Linked DNA regions of Solanum lycopersicum. The protein of the gene in region 1 interacts with the protein of each later gene in a biochemical or structural test. Links are inferred from orthologs where the notes say so. Each region holds a gene or a part of one and is shown on either strand. Other genes may lie near its edges.

Region 1 (4,291 bases):
ACGTGTAATGCCATGTATGTGTGCCCTTTTAAATTATGTTACTGTATTATTTCTTTCTCCAGGAGATTTGTCATTTTGTATATTTGTTTGAATTAATGCTATAACGAAATATTGGAACATACTGTTAATTAATGTTGACTGGATTCAGCACTATGTTTCATGTTGCCATCGAAATAGAAAAGAAAAAAGAATGAGAGGCAAAACAGAGTTTCTATTTTTTTAATTACTGTATTATTATTTTTATGATATGAATATATTCTTACGGGTGTATTTTGAGAAGTTACCCACAATACAAGTTTGCTTTGCCGACAATCATATTTCTTTGCAAAAATTTCATAATAATTCAGTGTAGCAACTTTTTTAGATCAGACGAAATAAAAATATACAAAATAAAGTATAAAAAATTTCCCCCATTAATCATTTACTCAAAAAGAAAAAGAAAAGGGAATTTAGTCAAGATAATCAATATCTTAATGTTCAAACAATTAATTTTATACAAATATTAATTTACATATTTATGGTATTATAATAATTTTAATTATGTCGATCTAATTCATGGCATGTTATATAGGATATTCATTGTTTTCTTTTCTGACTGCATGATGAAAATTTCACTAGGTATTTATAGGACAATGGTAGATAATAACAAATTAATAACCTAAAATGAATATAGTAATTACGGTTTGATTTAATTGTGCTCCATAGCAAACATTAGCCAAAGTTTGTCAGTCGTCTCTCTTCTAAAAATCTCGCTCGCCACTCTCTCTCTGCTCGCCTCTCTCGCTTTATATACAAAAGTGTATAAATTGTATTTCTGTTTTGTATAAAGCGAGAGAAAATTGTATATACACATGCAAAAAAACATAAATCTTCGTGTTACATTTAATTATACAATTTACAAACATTTTACTTCAATTCAATTATAGACAAATGCAAATTTTATACAAATATTATAGCGAAAAAGACCAACGAATTATACAATTGCGAATTATACATTGCAGTGAAATACAATTTTCTCTCGCTTTATACAACAAAAGTATATAAATTGTGTTTCTATTTTTGTATAAAGCGAGACAAAAACATATATCTTCTTCCTCTACACCTATAATTATACAATATACAAATACATTTTACTTCGATTTCAATTGTATGCAAAGTAAAATTTATACAAATATTGCAGCGAATTATACAATTACGCATTATTAATTGCAATGAAATAGGATAGCGAATTATACAATTGCAGCGAAATAGGCTAGCGAATGATACAATTTAGGCCAACGAATCATACAATTATATATGCATAGCGAGACCAGCGAATTATACAATTTAGGTTAGCGAATTATACAATTGTATATATACAGCGAATTATGCGGTTATATGTTTGCTATGGAGCGCAATTATGCAAACTTTGTTATACGATACAAATATGAATATTTTGTTTGCTATATGTGCAAATTATATATAAATTATATGTAATTATACAATTTTTTTATTTTTAGATGAGAAATAGAAACGCAGATAGTATGTGGGAAGGTGTAGCAGGGAAAACGTGAGACTGCAAGCTCCCCCCCCCCCCCCCCACCCCCTACGCGATCTCAGAATTTTTCTTCCCCTGCTTTTTCTTTGCGGATTATTGAGATTTTTCTTTCTCGATTGATAGATACTCTTCTCAATAAAGGGATTTATTTAGTATTAGACACCGTTTCACTCTTTTTGCCGCTTGGACATTTTACAAGCATCTAGATCTGCAGTTCCCCACTGCTTCATCCATATTACTTCTCAGGTCAGCCCTTTTAATGCTTTTCAATTGTATCTAAAATGATGCTTTCTGCATACATTTTTTCTGTTGTGTTAGTGCATTGCTAAAATTTAGTTAATCGTAGGATCTGATTGATACTGTAATCTGCACCTCTTTAATTTCATTGCACCAGAAATGTGAATTTAACTGTTGAAGTAAGCCTGAATTTCTCTTATCCAATTTTCTCGAATTTCATTTTCTTTGCGAAACTGGTGATAAACCTCAACTGCCATCGGGTTTTCTGGAAAAAAAAATGGAGGAGGGGGCAATTTCTACTAAAGCTACATTGGTGTGATCAATGTGAGGTGGGTGATACAGAGAGAGTCTATTATGATGTTTTGAATCTTGTACTAGCTTCGGGTTAATCAAATTAGCTTGACGGTGGATCTTGCTATAAAACTTTTATTTACTTACCAGAATTTGGCATTCAAATGTTGATATTTTTGAAGCCAATGTTTGTGTCTTTTTATCTCGATTCTTTAATTTCAATGCGGAGTTGCGTGATCCATATTAGTGGATTATTTATTTTGTGTTTTGTGATGGTTACTTATTGCAGTTGATGGATGAAACAGTTTAATCCCTACTTCTCAGAAGCTAAAGAGGAAATAATGGAGGGAGATATTAGTAGTGGGGCTGCAGATAATCACACGGAAGATGCTAGCAAAACAGAGGCACAGTTCAATAGCTTCAATATTGAGAGTGATCATGTAAAGGATAACGGAATATGTGAGAGTCACGAACATACAGGTGATAGCCATGATGATCTTGTACAAATGCTCGTAGAACTTAATTTCCAGAATGAATATCTGAAATCTCAGATTGTGGGATGGCAAAGCATCAACATATATTCTGATGACTCTGGTCAACAAATTAAAACGGCTGCACATGAAAATGTGGCAAGTGATAATTCAGAAGACCTTAATGAGAAGATCGAATCTTTGAATAGAGAACTTTTAGAGGAAAAGCAAACACGAGGTGCTGCAGAGGTAGCACTAAAGCATCTTCAAACTCTATATTTGGAAGCTGACACAAAGGCCCAAGAGTTGTCTGTCAAAGTTGCTGAAGGTTGTGATTTGCTTTGACTTCCATTTTCTTCTTCATGTTTGTTGAATTCAACATCAATATGGAACTCGGATTTTATGATAAGTTCTAAATGTTGGTGATGTACTTCCATTGTTAGTTGCAGATTTTTTGGTTTTCCTTTTTTAGTTTCAGTTGACAAAGAAGATATGCTATTCTGAAGTCTATAAATGGTTTGTTTGAATAGTACAAAATAAGATGGATCAGGAAATAAAAGAACGTGATGAGAAGTACTCAGAGCTAGACTCGAAGTTCAACAGACTTCACAAACGGGCAAAGCAGCGTATTCAAGAGGTGCAAAAGGTAAATTCTGAGACTATCCTCTTTTATTTGATATGTCTGATGTCTTTCATCAATTTTTCATCAAAACTTGGTCAACTTTACAAAAGGTGTTTTACTTCTACAAAACCTTCCGAGTTCTAGCAAAACCTTGTATAGATAACAATATATTCTACAACAACAAATGAAACTGGAGAAAATTTTTGATTATAGATGGTTTTCATCTCCTTAAAATGTTACTACTCTTTTCTTTCTGAATCGTCCGAAGATGCAAATGAGGCTTCACTTCCATTTATCTTTCTTCCTTATATCCATCTTCATTGCCCTTCAGCTTCTTGCTGCTTTTGCACTAGGAGTCACCCATGATATATTGAATAGGGAGTACCGATTTTAATTATGACATGAAACTACCTGCTAAAATAGACTTGAAAACTGCATTTTATCTTAATGTCCAAATGTAGTTCCTGTAGGATTGGGTGACTTTTGGTGAGGACCATATTTTGTAGGTTTTTCCTTTTCTGGTATACCACTTGTATAAATCCATGATGACCTTGTTATTATCAATGAAATCTGTTACTTGATAGAAAAGATGCAATTAAATTTGGACATTAAGATAAAAATGTGGTGGACAAGTTATTCAAGTTGTACATTAATTGCTTACATCTTTTTTAATTTTTAAAGAAAGAATTACGATAATTAACTATTTTTTGTTGCAATTCTGTTTCTTTAGGAAAAAGATGATCTTGAGGCCCAGTTTCGTGATGTCAATGAGAAATCTGAGCGCGCATCCTCGCAATTATCTGCATTGCAGCAAGAGTTGGAGCGCAGTAGACAACACGCTCAGGAGGCACTGAAAGCAATGGATTTGGATAGGCAACAGTTAAGAAGTACAAACAACAAGTATGTCCTCCTTGTGAACTTAGTTGACACTGCTTCTTCACAAGTGATTTTGATGGATTATCTGTTTATTATTTGGATTAGATTTGAAGAAAAAGAAAAAAAGAACAAAGAGATATCATCAGAGCTACCTGTCGAACAACTTCTTGATTGAGCTACAAGATTACCCCTTGAGATCCTCAAGTGTCCATATACTAAATGAGAAAATAACCTTTTAACATAATCACCTAACATTTT
Region 2 (4,210 bases), on another chromosome or scaffold:
AGTCTCTTTTGCTTAACATTTAGTATATGATATTTACTTTTAGTTCGACTAATTTAAATTCATCTATGAAGCATTTTCATTCCTCGTGCTTGAATGCACAATCTCTAACTAACGATAGACATATATATATATATATATATATATATCATTCACCCTACCACATCTCTTGACGAGATTTCAATCTAATTCTCTATCTAATATATAGAGATGCATGGGTGAAAAGTAAACATGGGCTGATTGGGCCAAGTACATAGATGGGCTTGAACAAATATGTAAAACAAAAGAAATGGGCTTAGAACAAATATGTCCAAACAATATCACAACAAAAGTTCCCAATGTGTTACTATGAAATTTGCAGGTATTGAAAAAAAAAATCTTTCTTAGGTTTCTATTTTTTTAATACCTTTCGAACTATTGATGATTAATGTGAAGGTAATTCTGTGTTTGATTGGAGACGGAGTTTAGAAAGATACAACCTTTGACATATATCGAAATATCATCTCGAAAATTTGTGGTTTAAATATGTTATTTTATATAGCAAGTTAGAAGCGCATGTCATTTAAGATAAAATGAGAGAAATAAAATTTTAGAAATCAAAGTATGAATTCCGTATAATTGAATATTGTTTTCCACTATGTAATATGTATGCGACGATCGCTATGTTTTTGGAGCAGAGATAAAGCTAGTTGAGGTTCGTGAGTTCGGATGAATAATTTTTTCGTGAATTTTGTATTTGTACTAGAAAATTAAGTATGTGTCTGTGTGTGTGGGTGGGGGTGGAGTGGGGGGTGGGGGTGGGGGTGGGGTGGGGTATGTGTGTGGGGGTATATTAACTAAAAAAACACTAACAAGATTGATTGACAATTTAGCGGTAAAAAAAGAACTATGAAAATGCTTTTCAATCTAGAGTTTTGAAAACTCAAAATCTTGGCTTCGGCTTGCTTTTGGGATTCACTAGTATCATCCTCGTTATTCTTATTAAAAATGAACTCATGATTATTTTTTAAGGAAATTAGTCTAGTATTAAGGATAGTTAAAACTTAAAATATAAATTTCAGAGTCAGAAATCTGTTTATTTTTTAAACGAAAAGACACAAAAGATTGAGATAAGTAAGATAGTTCCTAAAATATTATAGTCCTTTAGGGCTAACAAAGAGTTTTCGACTCAAGCATTTCATAAGTTCAACACTCCTAAAATTGACAACACTTGCTATCTCTCATAGTATTTCTAGCCGTAACCTAAATTATTCTAAAATTTATTTATTTTCATATAATGTGTTTCAGCAACTATAAATATCAGTATTAAGGATAGTAAATATTTAAAATACAATTCTAGATTTAGGTTTTTTTTTTTAAAGACAAAGAATCCAAATTGGTAATATAGTTCCTTAGGGCTAACAAAAAGTTTTTGAATCAAATACTTCATAATTTCTAACACCCCTAAATTTGACAACACTATTATCTCCCTTGTTATGCTGTGTCTGACGATATCCTAAAAAAATTCTAAAATTTCTTTCTTTTCATATTATATATTTCATTAACTATAAATATCTGAATGAAATTTCCTGAAGTAGACAACACGTTCAAAACTATTTTGTATTTTTTTTCATGAGCACTATTATCAAATCTTTCTTAATTTTTTTTTATAAATAATTTTTTAAGAATCAAACCCAGTCTTATGAAAAACATTTTTGATTGAAAAATATTTTTCGAAAAAAAAATAAAAAATAAAAAAGACCCAAATCTCAATTGGCTAGTCCTATATGTGTTTTTTGGTTGATCCAATTGACAATTTCTCTCTTCTAGCTTAACCCCAAACACTAATCAAGTTCCCAAATCAGCTGGTAATTCACTTCAATGAAAAATCTAGCTTTTTTCCTTTATTGGGTCACCATAAATTTGTCTAAACATTCATTTTTTTTGTACAATTTTGCCTTTTGCTTATTGGGGTTCTTCAAGATCTGATCTTTGATTTTGTATATACAGAAAAGCAAGCGAAAGGGGGGAAATGGGATTAGTGTTTTCACGATTGTTTTCTTCGTTATTTGGAAACAAGGAAGCTCGGATCTTAGTTCTTGGACTTGACAATGCTGGCAAAACAACAATTCTCTGTATGATTTACTCCTTTTTATGAATACCCTTTTGCTTATTTTTTGATTTGAATTCTGGGTTTTCATATTCAGTTCGATTAGTATGATGATTCCTTGTTTTTTTTAATCATGCAGATCGTCTTCAGATGGGTGAAGTAGTTTCCACTATACCAAGTAGGTTCTTTTTCTTGATTTCTCTTTCATTAATCCTTTCAATAGTTTAGTGAAGTGAAAGATTTCTTGGGGAATAGAAATGGGGGGAGGGGATTATAAAGTAAGGAATCAAAGTCAAACCAACTGAGCTACTAAGATTCCCCGCATTACTTATGTTATTCTCCATTCAGATTTGTTTGTTTCCTTTATGCTTGTATCAATCTTACTCAAACCAAAACAAATACTATAAACCAGTTCTATGAAAAGAAATAAGATGTGTAAAATGTAAATCAACATAAGAGTTAGTATAGTTGCAATGCTTTTGTGTACCAATGTTGATAGATTTCATTTGAGAGTATTACTTAAAAAGACCGACTATTTATGATGCCGAGTTGATTAGAGATAAATTTAGTCATTTTCTAGTGAATATGATGTATAAAAATGAAACTGTGGTATTGTCTATTATCTCTTTCTTTTTGGGTTATGAGGTAGAAATGTATCTACGAAATTTTATGTGCTATCTATGGGTGGGAAAATCATCCGCCAGGCAAACACTAGTAAGGTGTACATCAACATTCAGATTTGAGCAAACCCATGCTTCAGTGGGATTTGAACCTTGGCCTCTACCTTAATCGTTGAGCTATAATTTCATTGCATTTTCTTACATTCTTTAAGTGAAGAGAGGATATTGGTTTTCTTTGTATGTTTGTCCTGTTTTTCTTGTAATGGATGGTTTTTGTTGATTTTCATGATGCAGCAATTGGATTTAATGTTGAGACGGTGCAGTATAACAATATAAAGTTTCAAGTTTGGGATCTAGGTAAACTGATGGATTAATTTGACGTTTGGTGCAAAGTATTTGTTCTATATGTTCTGAGTTTTCCTGAACCTTAACTAGATTTTGTTTGAATAATGCTTCGCTTTCTTCCCAATTTTGTTAGGAGCTCAATCTTTTCCAGCTTTATTCTCATAAGATACTCATTTCATGCTCTTTGCTTGACGCTTATATCTGTAGTAAATGTTTCCCTTGAAATTTCCTTAACTTAAAATAAGTTTTGTTAGACAGGATGGCTTCAGTTCTTCCCAGTTTTTTAAATTAGTTCAAACTTTTGCAGCTTTTCGCACAAGACACTAATTTCACGCAACTTTGATACTTTTACATGGCTATATATGTTCAATAGGGATGGTCACAGGCTCTCAAAATTAAAAAATGAATAATCACTTCATGTAAATTGTAGATCTTTCATTTATCTCTAAATTAAGCTTTGTGTCAGTATATGGGTCATTGGTGTCTGGCGTATTGTATCCTAAAGCTTGCACAGAAAGGCTTGAACTAGTGTTTAGTGAAGTGGGAGGAGAGCTATTAGGTCTCCAAATTCCAGCAGAGGCAAAAAAACACTAGGTTATTCTTTCCATTTGCCTAAGCCTTAATGAACTTACCTGACCTCTGAGCTAGTTAGAGGTAACATCATAGGAGGTGCCTGGTTAAATTGTCAAGATGCACACAAGTTGGTCCGGAAACCACCTTTTTGTTTAAAAAATGTATCCTAAAGCTTAGTAATTAAGGTGCATGTCTTGACAAAGGAGGGATTACCTAGTGGGAAAGATATTCCACCTCCAACCATAATATTGGGTGTTGAGTTACCAAGGGAGCAAAGTGGGAAAGGACCCCACCACCATATGCTTCATAAAAAGTGTGCACTTCAGATAAAGACATGCAAAGCAATCTCAAAGTGGGAAAGGACCCCATCACCACCCCCGCCTTGTCCGGAGTTTCTTCATTCTTAATCTGATCTCTCTTTATTTGTCCACACATCAATCTCAGCATCCTCATTTCTACTACTTTCATCTTTTGAACAAGGAAGTTTTTGATTGACCAACACAATGCCCCATACAACATAGTCAGTGTAACCACCACATGGTAGAACTTACCTTTAAGTATAGATGACACATTTTTAACCGTATGC

What was found. The genes of interacting proteins can lie anywhere in the genome.
Region 2: the proteins of protein GRIP (region 1) and ADP-ribosylation factor 1 form a complex in vitro, tested with the Arabidopsis thaliana proteins (2 studies listed by BioGRID). The link is inferred for Solanum lycopersicum from reciprocal best matches to the Arabidopsis thaliana genes ATGRIP and ARF3.

Annotation. Positions count from the first base shown.
Region 1 is NC_090801.1:62,706,617-62,710,907, reverse strand, and holds the start of protein GRIP, read left to right. Parts: upstream 1-1,491; 5' UTR 1,492-1,783; intron 1,784-2,354; 5' UTR 2,355-2,361; coding exon 2,362-2,863; intron 2,864-3,065; coding exon 3,066-3,181; intron 3,182-3,887; coding exon 3,888-4,057; intron 4,058-4,291. UniProt on the Arabidopsis thaliana protein: Golgi matrix protein playing a role in tethering of vesicles to Golgi membranes and in maintaining the overall structure of the Golgi apparatus.
Region 2 is NC_090806.1:3,081,583-3,085,792, forward strand, and holds the start of ADP-ribosylation factor 1, read left to right. Parts: upstream 1-1,410; 5' UTR 1,411-1,844; intron 1,845-1,986; 5' UTR 1,987-2,008; coding exon 2,009-2,111; intron 2,112-2,225; coding exon 2,226-2,264; intron 2,265-3,000; coding exon 3,001-3,063; intron 3,064-4,210. UniProt on the Arabidopsis thaliana protein: GTP-binding protein involved in protein trafficking; may modulate vesicle budding and uncoating within the Golgi apparatus.